2 linked regions of the Caenorhabditis elegans genome follow. The protein of the gene in region 1 interacts with the protein of each later gene in a pairwise test. Each region holds a gene or a part of one and is shown in the gene's direction. Other genes may lie near its edges.

Region 1 (7,315 bases):
TCTTGCCTGCAAGACTAATTTTCAATTGGTCCGTAGGTGTGTAAGACTAATAGAGGCTGCAAGACTAACTTTCGAAGGTACTATGACTTTGGAAAGTGTCAAACTTTTAATAGAAAACTTAACTCCATACCGTTCAAACAATGAAAATATATATATTTTTTCGCAAAATTTCATCAGTTATTGCTGAAGTCTCCACATAGTATTAGTGGTCAAGCAAAAAGAGGAGTGTAAGACTATTAGAGACCATACGGTAATTGTAAATATTCTACTACGAGTTTTTATTTTATTATAACGTTTCTTTTACTATTAATAATTTGACTTTAGACATTGCAAGCTACGAAAATGCTCGAAATTTAGAAAAAAATAGCAAAGTTTGCAAAAGTTTGGCAATTAACCAAAATCTTTGTTCCTTGAAATTTATAGAGAAATAAGAAACCGTTCGAATAATACCATTCCCAATATAGTTAAATATTCTAGTTTATAGAAATTTCAAATATCGTAAACAGTATAAATATTTATTTTAACTTTTTTATTGGTTTTGAAAATAGTAAAGATGAGTAGAACAAAAAAATGTTTCCGTTTTGAAAAATGCCAATGTAAAAGTGGAGCTTATCAAGTTAAAAAAAAGCAGCATGTTCATAATTTTTGCTTGCACTAATACATTTTTGAAACGTTATGTTTGAAGTCTTTCTAGGGAAGCGCTTATAATTCAAAAATTCGAAAAAAAAAACAATTTTATAAGAAGTATTCAATTTCTATCCCGGGAACCTGGGGCAAATTACATGAATCTGTTAATCCAAAACAGACGGGAGTTTTGAGAATGTTGGTGAAAAGTGACAATTACTTTTTCTTTTGAAAATGCAAATTCGTGTGAAAAATGGGAACGGCTTTCTGTCGTATCGGTGATCCGGAGGCAGATGGTCGATGACTAATTGTTCAAATTTGCGGAAAAGAAACGAAGAAGACGAGTGAATGAAAAACTGTGGGAATCGGGAAAACTTAAACCTGCGAGAAACTGGGTACTTACGATATCCGTTTCATTTTGAACCCAGAATTAATAAATACCACCATTTGAAGAAAGAAGACCAGGGACCACATTTTTATAATGTTGAAAGCGCATACATAAACTTCTAACTTTTTGAAACATTTACAGGTTGTACAGTTTAAGAAAATGTTTTCTCAAATCTCATATTATTAAATGCGTGCCAATAAATTTGGTTATTCCTTTATTTTTATATTTAAGAGAATACTGTAGTCTTACTGTAGTTCCATGGCACAAATAATTCAACAGGAGGTGGCCGTGGCCGTGAATGCAACCTCGCTCCGACGAGAATAATTCGGCAAAGAAGAGACGGAGAATATGTTTTTTGAATTAATTGTTTCTGTTTTCATTCTGATTTTCATTTTTATAGAAGTAAAAATCGTTAAATTCAAATGTAAATCCAGTTTTCTTGTTCGATGAAATTTTTAAAAGAACATTTATATTATTTTAAGTGCAATTTAAATGCTAAACTTCCAGATAATTGCAAAAATAAGCTGAATGTCTATATTTTCTATTGAAAAAACGTTTAAATCAATTTTATTTCATCAGAAATTAATATTTTATTTCTACAGAATGGAAGACACCGCAGAAGAAAACAATGAATCAATAGATGATCAGCCATCAACTTCAACTGCAACTGATCCCAATCAAACACGGTTAATTTTGTTTAAAAAAAAAACGAATCAACTTATAATTTTAGAGAAACTGAAAAAGAAAAAGGAGACGATGAAATGTTCCGTTTACTTCAAGCAACTGATGAAATATTGGAGAACAAGGCAAAATCGATGAATTTGTCGTCTCTAAACGTTCGATCTATTCTTCACCATCTTATTAAATATCCTTCTACAATTGACGTTCTTCTTGGAATTCGAGAAAACGATGATCTTCCAAGCGTCAGAAATATGCGATCAAGAAAAAAACCCGATGACTCAGGTGCTTCATCTACAGTCAATACTCCTAAAAAGGTAAGAATTTATAATTTTTCTGAAGAAAACTGAAAAGTTTCCAGTTCGGCGCTCTCCGCATTGAAGATAGAGGTCCGAAAAGTTTTCTTGATTTGGAATACGAAGAAGATGATGAATACGATGACGACTACATTGAAGAAAATGACACGTCGACGGTGAGTAGCTCACTTTAATTGCTGAAAATAAAGTTTGTTGTATTTAGAGAAATAAATTAAATGCTGGAAGTGAAGAAGATGAAGAAAATGATGACGAGGAGGAAATAGAAGACGAAGGAGAAGATGAGGACGATGAGGAGCAGGATGAGTTGGAAGAAGATGGAGAACATGAAATCACTGGATCGGAAGCATGCACAAGTGGTCAAAACGATACAATGCATGCTTTGTTGTTTGACGAAACATCAGAAGACGTTCAGAACGAAGAGGATTATGTTTTAAATATGACTCTGAATGATACACGTGCTGAATCTGTTGCTCCAATTCCAACTCTTGACAATGTAGATGATGATGGATTTTATCGAGATTTCGTTACAGGAATTAATCGAACAGAAAAAGGTAAGATATTCAAGTGAGAACAAATAAATCACTGCCAAATTAACGAATTCCAGATAATGATAATCTGGAAGTTCTCGATACTGAAGATGATCCAGATGATGAAGATTATAATGTATGTGCTGATGATGGCCTCAACGTAGAAGATTGGGATGAAACGCGGCAAGATAAAACAACACAAATTCCACGACACGAGTTAAAAGCACTAATGATTGATACTTTATTGGCTGAAAAAGAAATTCCTTTGAACGCATTTCCAGAAGAAGCAATAAACGGAGAAGAACATAGGAAAAGTCAGAAAGTGAAGGCAAGTTTATTAGTTTTCGAATATTAATGCAACTAAACCAGGTATTTCTACAAAATGAGCCAGTATGGCATGTTCTCACAAAGTTTTTTATTAAATTATGTTTCTATATTTTCAGCACAAATTTTAATAAAAGTATTGTGAGAACATGCCACACTGGCTGATTGTGGGGAATTGCCGCGTAATCATGAACTACACAGAAAATTATTAAAAATTGTTGCGGAACACACATATTCAAATAATTTAAAATATTCAGGATGCTGAAGTGTACGAACGCATAAATACTTCAATATCATCTTCATCGGAATCATGTTCTCTCCTCAAAGACTCTCTTGCCACATTTCGTCCTCAAGAACTTCAGCAACTGAACATGCAACTGGAACAGCACGTTCAACTTCTCACTCAATTAGTTGTTACATGTCATCACGATGTAAACTTGTCTCATGTTAGAAATAGTTCTCAGCTAATGATGAACGAACTTGATGATATTCGACAACAGAAAATTTATCCCACTGTATTTGATGTACGCAATCTGGATGCTGCCATAGAATCGTGTCATGATATAAATGCTTTTGATGCAGTCGATGAAAGTTTTCTTAAGTATGCTGAAAATACAGAAGGATACGGTGGAATTGCATTAAGGCCGGAAGCTGCCGTCGTCTTGTCCAGAAGCAACGCTATTCGATATCCAGCTCTACTGCCTTCAAGACAACCTTTTTTTATTGAAACTCCTATTCCATTTTTGAGTGAAGAAGATCTGATGTTAGCTGTCGCTTTATTACAATTTGCTCATCTTCCCAGGCGCGGGGAAAAAGAAATGATAGATAGGTACACTGCTATTCAACAACATTGTCTACCGGCTAGAAGTTCGTACAAAATTCGAACACATTTAAAGTCAATGCGAAGGTCGGACAAGAACCCAATTCATCAAATAATGCAGGTTATTTTTTTCCATCTTCAGATTAAAAAAAACATTTATTTTCAGGCTGCGGAAAAAGGAGTGTGCAAACTTGTATTGCCATTGAAATCTTGGCAGGAATCAGATACTCCGATCTGTCAATGGCCTCCAGCTTCGCAGCCAGGATGGTATCGTCGGTTTCAGGAAACATTTAATGTCACAGAAGAACGAAAAATCCTTCGTAAGCATGTTTCCACGATGGTGTTGACTCCTGTAAAAAATAAAGATAGGCAAGATCAAGAAGCTTCGGAAGCGACTTTTGAATCTGGAGAAGAAGGAGAAGACGATGAGTTCGTGAACATGGGCACAGCGCCTGATGGACGGAAGATAATAATGGGAAGAGAACATATAGAAGATCTTGTACATCAATTGATTAAACAGAACGAGGTGAAGAGTTGATTACTGTGTATTCTCTATTAGTATTGCACCTCATTCAACGTTATCTCAGTTGGTTTCAGCTAACTTTTAGGCTTATAAAAAATTGTCAAATTGCTCATTTGTTTTTCTTTCATTTACTCGAATTTCAGGCTTTAAATGCAGAATCAATCGAAACGTTTGAAAAATCGAATGTTTTGCGGTATAACATTTTTATGTCATTTAATTAACTCGAGCCAAAATTGAAATGCGAGGTGCGATACTAATAGAGGAAATACATGTTACTTACGAAAACTTATTTGATTTTTATTGAAGATATCCCCATCAAAAAGACGAAAAAATCCCACCCCGATGAAGCTCAGTACGATGATTCAACTTGAAGAAGCTGAAAAGCGGATCGCTGATAGTCAAAAGAATAGTTGTGGCGGTCAAACAATATCCGCATTATCAAATGTTTCGGGTGATTCCAATGTAGATAATAACGGAACACACGAGAAAGAATTGATGCCTTCAACGTCATCAATTGATAGTTTGGAGTCCATAAACAATCAGGAAACTTCAAAATTTCCAAGACCTCTACCAATGTCTGATCAACCAACATTGAACACTTCGTGTCACATTACTACCACAACGTGTTCCGTGAGTTATGAAGACGTCGACGTTGGCACACTCAAAAAATCATATGTTGAAATAACAGCAAGTAAATATGAAACGAATTCGAACTCGTGTTTCTCGTATCCGATTCCTCCAACACCAGGACGTCGATCTCCTGATGACTTCGACGATTATTTCATGGACTTGGAGTCGAATAGTCTTATGTGGCCTCAAACACCGTATGCTGTTACCGATGAAAATCCACAGACACCACGAGGGTTCTCTGCTTCTGAATCTTCTGAACCAATCGATTTTTCATCGCTGGGAAAAGCTACATCACTGGATACTGAGGAGATCGTTTTCCAATCAACATCATGCCAGAGACCAATGGGATACTGTTCTGATTTTGGAGAATTTTCAAACTCTTCATCATTACCTGAAGAAATACCTGTACCTTCTCATCAAAGAACTCCACAAGAATCAGCAATTGAAGATGATTCGTCTATGCCAGGTCTCGATATGGTACCATTGTATGAGGAAGACGTTGAGGAATGTATTATTGAAGATATTGAAGAAGAAGAGGCTCCAATTAAACAAGGTCTTGTCAATTCTAGACCACCATTAAGATTTGTATGTTCAAAAAACTTTTATAAAATTTATTTAAATTCAATTAAATATTTCAGAAAAAAGAAGTGAAGGCTGGAATTACGAATTTAGCCCCTTCCAGAAAGAGGACCAGAATTGAAAGAGTTAGTTTTAAATTAACTATTCCTTTTGTATGCAATTTTATTCAATTTTAGGAAGCGATGGGATCTGTTGGACTGGATGATGAGCAACTTCATGACAAGCAGAAAGAAAATATCATGAGAAAAGTAATTGAAGACGTAAATCAAAGACTTTTCATGCACACTGATACATATCAGCGTTTCAAAGAAGCAATTACTGATGAAAACTTGACTGATTTTGAGGTTTTTCAAAAATTCATTTCATTATTTGTATATTTAATTGCAGAAAGTCACACGAACAATTATTATCCTGGCTAATCATCCCGAACTTCTGAATCTCGTTCTTCTCAATGCTCCACCAGAAGCTGTCATTTCAGACTTACAATGTGATCATAATTATCAATCATATAAAGTAGCGATTGAAATGATTATGGACATTGAAGTACGTAGCATATTCTGTCTAAAATATTTCATTATTTAATTTAACTTTTAGCGTTATATTACTGCTGCGAAACTGAAGGAACCATCATTGAAAGGACTTTTTCGATATATTCAAAGCTTTTTAGAGGATAAACCAAATATGACCGACGAGCAAGCAACCAAACGATTTTATGAATTATTTGGTCAAGACCGCCCATTGTGGAAGAAATTGGAGTCAAGATTCTGGTGTCTTCCGTACAAAGCTAGACCACGCCTTGAAAATTACGAATACATTGACTTGACTGGACTAGAGACAATGTCGAAACGAGAGAAGCGTGACTGGGTAAAAACTTGATCTTCTTTTTTAAAAATTTAAATCAGGAATATTTCAGAATAGCATTCCTCCGCGATTTGAGACGGTGGATGATATCGATCAAGTAATGGGAAGTGTTTATCGGGCGTCAAAGAATGAACCACCTTCAAATTTAGTTGTAAAATGTGGAGAATTTTGCATTCGAAATGACGACGAAACCTATACCCAATTGGAAATTACTGAACGAGTTAGTCTATCATGAAACTTTCAGATAAACGATACATTATACATTTTCCAGCTTTGGACCAGAAAAGATGACATATCTCTTTTGACCAGCTATAATGAAGCTCTCAAAACCATACCCAACTTTACCGTATCTCAAATGCCATCCTTGATATCCGACCTGTCATTCGGAGAAAAATCAATTATCGCACGATTACAATATCTTCTTACCGAACTTAAATCTCTTGATTAACTTTGAATAACTTAATATCTTTTGTGTCATTTAATTTTGAAACTTTGAAGAAAATGTACATTTTATTTTCAAATAATGTCATATATTATTTATAATCGAGGAAATACGGTAATCGTCTACTTTCAGAGAATTCTGACTTATACGTATATATACTAACGATCTTCATTGCTGAAATCTGCCCAAAATTCGCCTTATTAAAGGTGCACAGATTTATTCTTATTGTTGGGTCTCAGCGCGCAAAAAAATATGGTAGTTGAATTTTACAATAAAATGACAAGAAGTGGATGCTGATTGTAGATCAACGGATGGCGTTCCGACTTTTTTTTAACGAAAAATTGTTGAAAAATAAGAAAATTGCCAAGGATGAGATGCCGACAATGAATAGTATTCTCTCTAAACTTATCAAAAAATTGTTTATTTAAAAAAGGGCGAATAGAGCCGTAATCAAGTAAAAATAGACATAGGAATCAAATACATGTATTAATACAATCAAATAGAATTCATAGACTTATAGATCCGTGAACTTATGAATCATCTTCGACAAAAAATAATTTCTTTCGGAACGAGTGAATTATAGCCGAAAATCCATTGAAAAT
Region 2 (4,075 bases), on another chromosome or scaffold:
ATAGGCTCCCAAGATGTCGATTTATCAGCTTGCCATAAAACGAGAAACTCGACTCTTTTCAATTTTCCATTGTACCGCATTTCTTGTACTTTTTCGACCTGAAAAAAAGTTGAATGTATTTCTGTTTCAGTCAAATTGCAGTATTACCACCCAGTGATCCTCGTCTATTTCTTCTTCTTCTTCATCTTCTTCGTCTTCCTCACCTCCTTGTTCATCTTCTTCTGATTCTTCCAATGTTTGAACCGAGCTTTCCTCTTCAGTGTCTACGTTGACTTGGGTCTCGCTGGAGCTTGACATTCTGAAAACTAAAACAAGTGTTGTGAAAGCGGTAATTTAAGAGTGGTTACAAGTGTAAAAACTGACAATTTTCATGAAGTTTATTATCCAAGAACATTAAAAGGTGGTTGAGGTCAGAAGAACAGCTCACAAGAGAATTAGAAAGGATATTACAACGGGAGACAAAGGGTGAAGAATGTACTTAGACTGTAAGGCAATCATTGTGATAAATATTAAAAGTGACATGAGTCACAAGAAGGGAATGGTATGTGTTCTCGTACAAGCACTAGCTGTCAAAAAAATCAAAACACAATGGGGTCTCGTGAATTATGAGAAATTCTATTAGGAAATACTTTTAAATTGATTAATTAAATGTAAAAGAACAATCTGTATGGTTTAAATTGAATTATAGTTTTATTGAATTATAGTTTTAGACCTAAAATTATGAACGAATTAAAAAATGAATTCAGCTCAAAAAACATCTGATTTACGATAAACAACACGCGGTACCGTTATACCGGAGTGTCGTTGAAAACGCGAACATTTTTTTTATTTTCATATTTTTTCCTCTCAATTTATTGATTTTAATTAAATATTCTTTTCTATTTTTTCTAATCCGTCACAGTATTGTAATTTTAAATTATTTATTAATGGAGTAATTTACAGATGCTTCGTGCTGGAGCCTCTCGTTGCCTTTCGGCGGGAAACACGGCTTTCCGTTGCCTCTCGACTGGAAAGGACAACCTACCGGTCACAAGATCGCATGATGCCAAAAAGGTTGAGCTCAACGATATTCTTGACAAACCGTCTCAAAAAGTAAGATTTAAATGTTGATTTTTCCTGTTTTAATACACGAAATTCAGCGAATTGCACTTAAATTGTTTATACTTGACATTTTTATTGAAATAAATATTTCAGACTCCAGTAAAAGTATCATCCGATGAGACAATGGATATCGGAGGTGTTCCACTTGATCACCAAGATGCCCGTACCGCTCGCATCTTCCGTCCAGCAAGAGAGACTACACAAAGTGCTTGGGGTAATACCAAGTCCTGGACCATTGAGCTGGATAATCGTCAAAGATGGGAAAATCCATTGATGGGATGGTCTGGAACGTGAGTAGCATCTTAATGAAGTTTAAAGTTTAAAAAAAAAATTTAGTGCGGATCCACTCTCCAATGTTGGAATGGATCTCAAGTTTGCCACAAAAGAGGACGCTATCGCTTTCTGTGAAAAGAATCGCTGGGAGTTTGACGTCGAGGAGCCACATGAGCGCAAGATTAAGCCAAAGAATTACGGACAAAACTTCTCATGGAACAGAAGAACCAGAATTGGAACTAAGTAAATTTCTATTAAAAGACGAAGTAAACTGAACCGCTTCTATTTAGATTTTGTTTTTTTTTGTGTAGAAAATGAAGATTTATCTCGATATTGTACTGAAAACTATTATTGTATTGGTTTCTTGTTGGTTTCAAAAATATCCAACTTGTATTTTTTTAAAATTTGATTTCCCTGTTTATTTTCTATATTTCTTATAAATCACCAGATGTCAACGGCACATCTACCTCCAGCGATGCGAACAAATGTTCCAGATCAACAGTCAACTGTGCAGAAGTTACTCGATGAAAACTCAAGGCTGATCGATATTATACAGGAATATTTAAATCAGGTTTGTTTGTTTTTTTTTGCAAAAAAGGAGTACCTTAAAATACTCACTATTCCCAAATGCCGAAATACCACAAAAGAAAATCGTAAAAATTGCTAAGTATGAAAAAAAAGATGATTTTGGCGATTTTTCAACTGTTCCTCATTTGAATTACCGCACTATGGTCTATAAATACCGTCCATAGAACCGTGTCGCACTTTTCAATTTTGGCACAAATTTATCTTTTTTGTGTTGTTTTTCTAATTTTTAATAAAGAAATACGTCATAAATGTGCAAAATTGTTTTTAAAAAATCGTATCGATTTTGTTAAATTTCGCGGAACTCTATAGAGCTCTACAATAACAATGTTTTTTTTCTATTGAATAATTTTTAAATACAAAAAAAAAACGTTTATGACCTTTTTATTCATTAAAAATTAGAAAAAAACACAAAAAATTCTGCCTCAAAATTGAAGTGCGGAATGGCTCCATGGGCGGAGTTTAGAGACCATAGAGCGGTAATTCAAACGATTTTTCAGATTTAATGGAATTTTTTCGTTTTTTAAAAATTTATTTCGAAATTCGAGCACCGATTACTCCTCCTCTAATCATAAAAAAATCATTTCAGAGCCGTGCTGACGAAGCCATCAAACACCAACAACTTTTACATCGGAACTTGTTACATCTTTCAAATCTCGCAGACCCATTCCTTCTAAGCCAGCTGAAAGATGATGGTACCGCTGCTGCCGCTCTTCCAGATCCTAACCAACAACAGCCTCAACCCGGAGCTTCTGGTCCTCCGGCACCACATCTCCAACAACAACAACCACAACATTCACCACAACAAGGCCATCCACATCCTCAACAAGGACTTCCTGCCGCTCACCATCGTCAACAAATGATGCCACCACAGGCGGCACCAAGTCCAGGTGGTCCAATGCAGCCGCCTCACGGATTTGCTCCTCCGCCAATGGGTGGTGGTGTACCACCCGAGATGATGAATCATCAAGCTTATCAAGCACAAATGCGGCAGCAGCAACAACAGCCTAATGGACAAGCTCCGCCACCTGTGTATCCACCGTTTGGACAGCCAGCACCGCAGATGAGTGGACAGCGAATGCCTTATCCTTACCCGCCGCAAGGTAATTATTGTGGAAAAATACCTTATTTGAGTTAAAAAATTCCCAGAATTTCCCGAAAAAATAAAAATTGGTGAAAAAAAACTTCAGGGGAATTTTGGCCTTTTTGTACATTCTAAAAATAATTCTGAAATTTTTATATCCCAATCCAATCTCAAAGATTCTGCACCTCAAACTATAAATTCACTGAAATTTATTTTCTTTCAGGAATGCCTGGATATCCTGGAGGTCCACCACCACCACCACACGGATACGAAGGATATCCTCCACCAGGAGCCCAGCCAGGATACATGCGATAATCGACAGATCTCCAACTCCAAAATTTCACCAAATTGTCAAACATAACATCTCATTCCTTTGTCTCACTTTGATATGTACTAACTGAATCATTAAATTATTGTGATTGTATGTTTTTTTTTCGATGTGAGAAAAGAAAAGAATCATTGATCTTGAGCACCAATTAACAATAAATGCAACTATTATATACAAGAAAAGATACCTAGACAAAGACCGGGGAGACTCTTTGGCATAAAGTCGTCGTCTCTACAGAGGGGAGATTACAAAAATTAAAATAGGGATAATACCAGTAAAGACTATAAAAATGTGTGCATGGCATTAATTTTAAGAGTTATTCTTCATCGTCTTCGTGACCGTCGAGGAAGGTTTCATTGAAATGGATCACAATAACAGTGATGTCGTCACGATAGTTACGTGCTCGGCCGGGAGGGACCTGAAAAAATAATTTTTATTAAAAAAAAATCATAATGTTACAATCTTTCACCGTGCCTACTTAAAGGCGCACAGATTAATTCAGATGGGTCTCGGCGCGCAAAAAAGTTTATGGTAATTATTTGCAAATTTTTGCGATTTGTTTATTTTCCTTGCAGTTTTCTATAAAATTACTTTTTTTACGCTGCGCGCTGAGACCCATTTGAATAAATCCGTGTGCCTTTGTGAAGGTAATCTCGTGAAATTACGGGATTTCGCTTCAAAGTTTTAAAAAAAGACGTAGCAGG

Evidence for each region. Proteins that work in one complex are often made in the same cells at the same time.
Region 2: the proteins of gon-4 (region 1) and ZK973.9 interact in a two-hybrid assay, tested with the Caenorhabditis elegans proteins (one large-scale study listed by BioGRID).

What each region holds. Positions count from the first base shown.
Region 1 is NC_003282.8:10,196,205-10,203,519, forward strand, and holds gon-4 (GON-4-like protein), read left to right. Parts: upstream 1-1,612; 5' UTR 1,613-1,615; coding exon 1,616-1,698; intron 1,699-1,742; coding exon 1,743-2,007; intron 2,008-2,051; coding exon 2,052-2,162; intron 2,163-2,209; coding exon 2,210-2,558; intron 2,559-2,611; coding exon 2,612-2,862; intron 2,863-3,115; coding exon 3,116-3,799; intron 3,800-3,844; coding exon 3,845-4,204; intron 4,205-4,507; coding exon 4,508-5,416; intron 5,417-5,469; coding exon 5,470-5,535; intron 5,536-5,586; coding exon 5,587-5,754; intron 5,755-5,797; coding exon 5,798-5,953; intron 5,954-6,004; coding exon 6,005-6,274; intron 6,275-6,323; coding exon 6,324-6,491; coding exon of another isoform or gene 6,492-6,495; intron 6,496-6,542; coding exon 6,543-6,719; 3' UTR 6,720-6,789; downstream 6,790-7,315.
Region 2 is NC_003279.8:4,369,886-4,373,960, reverse strand, and holds ZK973.9 (SS18 N-terminal domain-containing protein), read left to right. Parts: upstream 1-1,822; 5' UTR 1,823-1,849; coding exon 1,850-1,945; intron 1,946-2,548; coding exon 2,549-3,062; intron 3,063-3,266; coding exon 3,267-3,358; 3' UTR 3,359-3,542; downstream 3,543-4,075. Other genes in the region: cec-10 (Chromo domain-containing protein), read right to left, coding at 1-98, 148-297; lpd-5 (NADH dehydrogenase [ubiquinone] iron-sulfur protein 4, mitochondrial), read left to right, coding at 943-1,092, 1,195-1,391, 1,438-1,621; pdp-1 (PPM-type phosphatase domain-containing protein), read right to left, coding at 3,688-3,789.